Linked DNA regions of Canis lupus familiaris. The protein of the gene in region 2 interacts with the protein of the main gene of each other region in a biochemical or structural test. Links are inferred from orthologs where the notes say so. Each region holds a gene or a part of one and is shown on either strand. Other genes may lie near its edges.

Region 1 (4,306 bases), on a different chromosome or scaffold from region 2:
TAGCTCTGGGGAGGGAGAAAAAAGTGATTAATCAAATTCATTTAGTAGGATGTAAGACCAGAGAGCTTTTCAATGACTGCTGACCTTAACAAGCAAACTGATTTTATTTATCTATTTTTTTAAAATATTTTTATTTATTTGAGAGAGAGCACACATGGAGTGGGGTGGGAGGGGGAGAGAGAGAGAAGCAGATTCCAGCTGAGTGGGGAGCCTGACGCCGGGCTCGATCTCAGCACCCTGAGATCATGATCTGAGCTGAAGACAGACATTTAGTGAACCGACTGAGCCACCTAGGCACCCCAGAAGCAAACTATTAAAAAAAAATACTTTCTTTTCAGGGTGTTTGGCTTCACGGGCGTTATAAATGTTGATAGGAATAGAGATGACACCACTTTAGTATTTACGAGCTGTCTTTCTCACTCTTTAAAAAAGATTTATTTACTCATGAGAGACACAGAGAGAGAGGCAGAGACACAGGCAGAGGGAGAAGCAGGCTCCATGCAGGGAGCCTGATGTGGGACTTGATCCCAGATCCTGGGATCATGCCCTGAGACGAAGGCAGACGCTCAACTGCTGAGCCACCCAGGCATCCCTGTCTTTCTCATTTTTTTGGAAAAACCTATCCGTGCACAAAGAGCATAAAATTTAAGCACCACCCCATGATAACAGAAGGTCATCCTCCCTCTAATCCTTGACTACAAGTCCTAGGAGAATCCCAGAGTCAACCACTTTATCAACTTACCCTCCACCTGTCCAGACAGTCGATGCCAATTCTAGCCTGTTCACCCACTTACACATACACATGTATATGCAGCAGCCCATCCCACTCTTATTTCTTTTAAATGAGAAATATAAGTCAGTTTGCCCTTGTGTTTCACTTAATGAAACATCCTGATAATCAGATGAACGCATCTAAAACGTCTTTAAAAAAATTCTAGTACCAAATCCAAGAAGGCGGGGAATCACAACCGCGGAGACGCGCACACCTAGTCTAAGTCTCCCTTTTTTGGAGGTGGGCGTTGGAAAGCGGCGGGAGAGGAAGGTCTGGGGATACCCTGAAGACCCATCCCCTGGAGACAGGGGCAGCGGGAGGGACTGAGCTGCGACTGGAAGCAGCAAATACAGCCCTGCAGCCTAAACTTGCAAACGGATTTCTCGCAGGGCCCCGCCCGGGCGTGCCAGGTGGGGGGACCCCTGCGCGGCTCCGCTTCAGTTCCAGCAAGCCCATCCATTACGACTTACCCTTGTCGTCCATGGCGCCCTCTGGATCGCACAGCCCGAGGGGACCCGGACAGCCCGCGCTGCTGGAGCGGGTCCCACCGCCGCGGGGACTCGCGGCCACAGGGACTGCCAGCACGCCGCGCGTCTCCGCGCTCCACTTCCGGCGCCCTGGGGCCGGGGCCCTGGGTACGGCGCGCGGCTCGCGTCAAGCCGCTCTTGCGTCACTCGGCTGCGCCGGAAGTCGGGGTGTGCAGGATCCGGGAGGAGCTTTTGACGGCTCGCTGCCTCTGCGTTGGGGGATCCTGGCCGCCATGGTGTCAGACGGTGAGGGGTGTGCGGGGAGGGACCCCCACCCCGGGACTGGGCAGGACCACCGAGCTGGAGCATTATTTGGGGGGCTGGGGCAACCTGTCTGGTCTTTAGAGGAGTAGCAGATGTGTTATTTTATTCAATAAATAGTTTTGAATGGTCTCCGGTGTGCCAGCGTTGTTGTATGCGCTGGGGAATACAGCAGAGACCATGGCAGTCAGGGCCTTCGTGGAGGCTGCAGTCCAGTGGGCGAGGCAGACAGTAGTTAAGTAAATAAGAATACTTTCGAAGGGTGACAAGAGCTGTGAAGACAATATACTGGGATGCTGCAGTACTGTCATTAGGGGATGACCAAGGAGGAGCTACGTTTAGATAAGAGTCCAGGTACTGAGAGTGAGTCTCCAGTGAGTGTGCAAAGGCGCTGTGGCGAGTTGAGTCGTTACATTACACTAAGAAATGGCGAACTTGAGGGTAGAAGAAGATGGAGAGACTTTCATTCATACATTAAACTACCAGCTATAGAGCCTGCTGTCTTTTTTTTTTTTTTTTTTTAAGATTTCATTTATTTGAGAGAGAGTGCGCGCACCCGTGAGCGGGGAGCGGGGGTGAGGGAGAGGGAGAAGCAGACTCCCTGCGGAGCAGGGAGACACATGCGCCGCTGGATCCCAGAACCCTGAGATCATGACTTGAGCTGAAGGCAGAGCTTAACCAACTGAGCCACCCAGGCATCTTGAGCCTGATTTTTAAAAAAATTTTCTTTATTAGATGTTGAGCAAGAGCGAGGATGAATATGAGCAGGGAGAGGGACAGAGGGAGAGGGAGAAACAGGCTCCCCACTGAGCAGGGAGCCCAATATGGGGCTGAATGTTAGGACCCTGAGATCATGACCTGAGCTGAAGGCAGATGCTTCACCAATTGAGCCAGCCAGGTGCCCCTAGCTTGATGTCTTAAAGAAAAAAGAGACCAGGGTGGTGGGAGTGAAGTGAGCTAAAGGAATGAGGTCAGAAGCTAGGCAGATGCATGGCCCTTGTGGGTGGTGAAAAAAGAGGTTGAACTTTAAGTGTAGTATGAAACCATTGTAGGGTCTTAAGCAAAGAATTGCATAATTTAATTAATTAATTAATTAATTTTAAAGAATTGCATAATTTTATTTTTTTATTTTATTTTTTTAAAGATTTATTTATTTTTTTACTTATGATAGACATAGAGAGAGAGAGAGAGAGGGAGGAGGGAGGAGCAGGCTCCATGCCGGGAGCCCGATGTGGGATTCGATCCCAGGACTCCAGGATCATGCCTTGGGCCAAAGGCAGGCGCCAAACCGCTGAGCCACCCAGGGATCCCCAGAATTGCATAATTTTAAAAGATCACTTTGGCTGCGGTGTGGATAAGGGAGCAAGAGTGGAAATAGGGAGATCACTTCTTTTTCAATACATACCACAGTCCTGAGAGAGGCAGGCCTGGCATGGGCCTTGTCTACAAATGATGGTGTAGAGACTCAAAGAAGGAAGTTGACCAGGCAGTCCGTGTGTGTGGGTACTCATCTCCCCTATTAGGCAATACTTTATTTTTTTCTCAGGCTTCTGGGCAGTAGCAAGGGCTGGCTGACCCTAGAGTTGTGGGGTGGAGCTCATGGAGAATAAGGCCAAAGGATTGTGGGCTTGTGGGTAGAGGAGTGAAAGACAGTTATTAAATGCTGCTTCTGTGTTAGGCATTTTTGTGTGTGTGATTTGCACTTTTTGTGTGTGTGTGTGTGTGTGATTTGCACTTGTTATTTCATCCCAGGATTCGCAAAAATCCTCTTTCTGTAATGAGGCCACAGTCTAGTGGACTAGTTTTAGCAGAGCTGGCAAGAGAGATCAGAAAGACAACTAACTGTAAAATGAGATGATTCATACTAAGAGGATCAGAAGTGGACAATGGGTTATTGAAAAGCCAGGGATCCCTGGGTGGCGCAGCGGTTTGGCGCCTCCTTTGGCCCAGGGCGCGATCCTGGAGACCCAGGATCGAATCCCACGTCGGGCTCCCGGTGCATGGAGCCTGCTTCTCCCTCTGCCTGTGTCTCTGCCTCTCTCTCTCTCTTTCTGTGACTATCATAAATAAATAAAAATTATAAATCTTGAAAAAAAAAAAAAAAAAAGAAAAGCCAGTCTTTATAGTCAAGTAGATCTGGCTCCATAGCAGGGAGTTTTGCCGCTTGCTAGCAAGCCATGTGACTTAGAGCAAGTTACTTTCATTTGAAAATAAGAATGCCATATTTGTGTCATCTAAGTTATCTAAGACAGTATCAATTATGAGATCTGTTTTTGTTTAGTGTGCCACTAAGAGACATGCTGCTAGTCTTAATTATAAGACACCATCCTGATTTCAGCAACTGATAAAGAGAGAGTCCCTGTCATAATTGATGAAAGATGACAGTAGTATTTCCATCAGTAGTTTGTTGTCAGCATGAAATGGGATTATAGGATTACATATGCTGATGCAGACAGCTATTCTCAGGTTGGGGAGCCAGGACCTGTTGGAAATCCTGGGGAGGATTTTTGGAAGAAAAAAAGTAGCATTGGTTTGGTGCTTTGTAGAGGACATAGGATTTGGATTTGAGAACAAATCTACGATGGAGTGGGGATTATCTGATGTAGGAGGTGGGACTGCAGGAAGGAAGGTGTGGGGGCAGGAAATACATTATTGCTTTTTGCTATTAAAGGAGCATTCTGGGTTTTTCTTAACAGCTGTGCTTATAGGTTCGTATATCTGTCACCTCAGTTAGAATTTAGACTCC
Region 2 (3,817 bases):
CCTACAAAAAGCTTACTTTAAAAAAACAAAAACTAAAAAAAAATAAAAATAAAAAATAAAAAATAATAAAAAAACAAAAACTAATCCTGCAAAATATAAACTTTCAGTTTTTTAAGTGATTCTTACCTGGTTACAACCTGATGTGTATAAGCTCTATTGGGGCTCCCAAATGATTTGGCCAGGCCAAAATCTGCTAGTTTTAGAACACCATTTTCATCTAGCAACAAGTTGTTTGGTTTTAGATCCTGTATCATGGAGGTTTTAAATAAACAAGTAAGCAGGAGGGAGAGAATACCATAAAAATACAATTAGTTGGCTTGACAAAACAAAACAGGGTAAAACCTCAAATTTAAACATATCAGATATAAAATCTTACCACAGCAAAAGACTGGTTTTATTACTTAGTGAGACCTTGGATTTACCTACTTCACAGGGTTGTTGTGAGGATTAAATTTAGTGTTTTTTGTAACGAGCCTACTATGACAATGAGGAATTCAATAAATAATTGCTGCTATTAATTTAGTAACAGTAATACACAGCAACTTCAGTAAATAAAAATATTATGCATTTAGAGAGAATGAGGAACATATTCCTCAAAATCTATACTAAAAAGATATTAGCAATAACCTAAAAGGGATTCCAAGTTTAAGGTACGAGAATTACTGACTATAAATTATATATTCTTAGCTATTTATCTAAATAGAGTACCTAAAAATATCTACCTATAGAGAGTGTCAGCCTTGTTTCAATAGCTAAATATTTCTAATACTGACTCAATCATTTCAGAAACTTTATTTCATTACTTCACAGAATTTTAGAGTTACTGAAATATTGCTGTTCTAAAAATATTTTAGCAATGTATAATTTAACCCAGTCTCTCACTGTATTTTTTTTTCCTGTCACAACAGTATAGCATAAAGAATACTGGACTTAAAGCCAAAAGACCTAGATTCTAATACTCTGTTGGTTATCAGCTACTGACCTTGAAAAAACTATAACCTCGGTCAGGTGACACAGCAAATTAGCTATTCATCTATGGAAAAAAATGAAGAACCGGGCCTCTTGCATTTCTAAATTTTACATAGTATTTTACAGTCCTCATTAGCACCACCTGGTGGAATAACTGAAGGGAACACCCAGAGGAAGACGGGATAAAATGGTCCGGCTTTATTTTTAATAATATACGTATTTAGACCAAATATTTATGTAATAACTGGTTACATAAAACTTGACTAAAATGTAAAAAGTCAATCATAATTGGTTAAAAACCTTACCCTATGTAGAATCCAGTGTTGATGTAAATATTCCAACCCTTGAAGAGTCATCAACATGTAGGCTTTGATGTGTGATGGGGTCAGCACAAGACTATTATCCTTTATTATAACCTGTAAATCCAGTATATAAAATACAATTATTCCAATTAAATTACATCATATAGAATCACACACAGACATATAATGAATTTATCCATCATACGGGAGAATCTGAAGAAACACTGCCTAACTCTCCTTAGGAAGCAGTGTCAGAATTTCCAGAAACGGAATTTTCCAGTTAGGGAAAGTATCTGCTGGGGCTTTTTCTCTTCTACTTCATTGTTTAAAAGGCATTAACATGGTGAACATCTGTTGTTTCGCTTGCCCCAGGATGTACAGCCCTTCTGATAATAGCATTCAACATTCCTTTGGGAAACCACCTGTTTAAAACAGGACTGACCACTACCTGTGGCCTCTAGAGGCAGATACATGACCCAGGCATAGCCAACCACCATACTCAAGCCTGCTGTCCAGAAGACTGCTTTAGAGTTGGACATGTGATCCAAGCTAATCAAACAGGCCAAATACTTCTAGAATCAAGGGGAACAAAGCACCTTCTTTCCTTACAGATTATTAAACTCTAAGGATATAAGCCACTATATTGAGAAATTATGCCCATGAAGGAAGATAACAAAGAAAATAGAGCTGAGTTAAAGTGCACAACTGAGTTCTCATGCATTATTTGAGAACTGTGCTTAAAGCCAGTTTATTGAAAAAAAAAAAAAGCCAGTTTATTCCTAAGCTTATATGTTAGCTAGAAGTTATCATTTTCTTTTTTTAGAAATCCTATTTAGAGGGGCAGTCTGAATGGCTCAGTGATTTAACACCTGCCTTCGACCTAGGGCATGATCCTTGAGTCCCGGGATTGAGCCCCATATCGGGCTCCCTGCATGAAGCCTGCTTCTCCCTCTGCCTTGTGTCTCTGCATCTCTCATGAATAAATAAATAAAATCTTAAAAAAAAAAAAAAAAAGGAAATCATATTTAGATAAAAGGTATCCAAATTGGCAAGAAGTAAACTTTTGGTATTTGCAGATGACATGATACTATACATAAGAAACCTTAAAGACTCCACCAAAAAACTACTAGAATTGATAAATGAATTCAGTAACGTTGCAGGACACAAATCAATACATAGAAATCTGTTGCATTTTCATATACTAATAATGAAGTAACAGAGAAATTAAGAGAACAATCCCATTTCTTAAAAAAAAAAAAAAATCAGATTTAGGCAAAATATGCCCTTTCTAGTGCACAGTTCCATGAGTTTTAACAAAGACATCCAGTTGTGTAACCATTATCATAATCAAGATAGAGTTCTTTTAACTCTCACCCATACCCCAATCGCCCCAGGCCCCTCTATGCCCAATACTTCCCTCTACTCCCAACTCTGACCACCACTGACCTGATTTCTGTTTCTTTAGTTCTTGCCTTTTCCAGAACATCATATAAATGGAATCATATAATACACAGCCTGGACTGAGCCTGAGTTCTTTCATTTAGCACAATCTATGTAATGAGATTCCTCTCTACTGTTATATACATATATGAGCAATTTATTTCTTTTTATCCCCAAACAGTATTCCATTTTAAAGATGTACCACAGTTTGTTTCTATATTAACTAGATGAAAGATATTTGGATTGTTTCAAGTTTGGGCAATAATGAACAAAAGTGAACATCTGTGTACCAATTAATTTCTGGGTAGACATATTTTTATTTCTCTTAAATACCTAGCAGTCATATTGCTAGATCATTCTTTAGCAGTGTATTTCACTGTTTAAGAAACTGCCAAACTATTTTCCAAACTGGCTGTACGATTCTGCATGCTCACCAGCGGTGTATGAGAATTCCAGTTGTTGTTAGTTTTCGAGGTTCCTTAATTAGTATTAAGGAAAAGCCTAAGATCTCATTTTCTCAAAAAAAAACAAACAAACAAAAAAAAAACTTGGCTGTCAAAAGGATGATATTCTGTGATAATATGGAAAAGAAACTCTAAATTCTCAAGGGCCTAATACTCATTTCTCTAAAAATAATGTCAATAAGGTAGAGGGAGCTTGGTAGATAGAAATGTTTTGAAATCCAAATCTCTGTATCTAACACTGGGAATACGGCTAAATGATTCAGAAGATCCTTTACTTAGGAGTACGTTCACATTCCAAAAAAATTAAATATTCCTTTGAATAACAGTACCTTCGAAAGTAGGAAATAAACAGGTTCTCTTTTGATAAAAAGAGAAAAAAAATCTCTTAGGAATCTTAATCTTACCTCTAGATCAGTTTCCATAAAATCAAAGACAAGGCTAATATTAGATTTATGCCCAAAAGCATCAAGGAGCTGCAAAGCAAAATTCAAAAAATAAATAAATAATGTGATTTTCTATAAAGTACTTGAAAATACTGTACCAACTAATTTTTAAAAATTTAAACAAGCATGAAGACTGCTGATAATACTCTGTTAAATCTGATTTTATTAAATTTGACATTTATCCTTTTTCTTGCTAGGA

Evidence for each region.
Region 1: the proteins of CDK7 (region 2) and GTF2H3 form a complex in vitro, tested with the Homo sapiens proteins (2 studies listed by BioGRID). The link is inferred for Canis lupus familiaris from reciprocal best matches to the Homo sapiens genes CDK7 and GTF2H3.

Annotation. Positions count from the first base shown.
Region 1 is NC_049247.1:6,237,508-6,241,813, reverse strand, and holds the start of GTF2H3 (general transcription factor IIH subunit 3), read left to right. Parts: upstream 1-1,426; 5' UTR 1,427-1,532; coding exon 1,533-1,545; intron 1,546-4,306. Other genes in the region: EIF2B1 (translation initiation factor eIF-2B subunit alpha), read right to left, coding at 1-5, 1,243-1,255. UniProt on the Homo sapiens protein: Component of the general transcription and DNA repair factor IIH (TFIIH) core complex, which is involved in general and transcription-coupled nucleotide excision repair (NER) of damaged DNA and, when complexed to CAK, in RNA transcription by RNA polymerase II.
Region 2 is NC_049223.1:53,559,970-53,563,786, reverse strand, and holds part of CDK7 (cyclin-dependent kinase 7), read right to left. Parts: intron 3,649-3,817; coding exon 3,580-3,648; intron 1,386-3,579; coding exon 1,275-1,385; intron 246-1,274; coding exon 127-245; intron 1-126. UniProt on the Homo sapiens protein: Serine/threonine kinase involved in cell cycle control and in RNA polymerase II-mediated RNA transcription. Cyclin-dependent kinases (CDKs) are activated by the binding to a cyclin and mediate the progression through the cell cycle.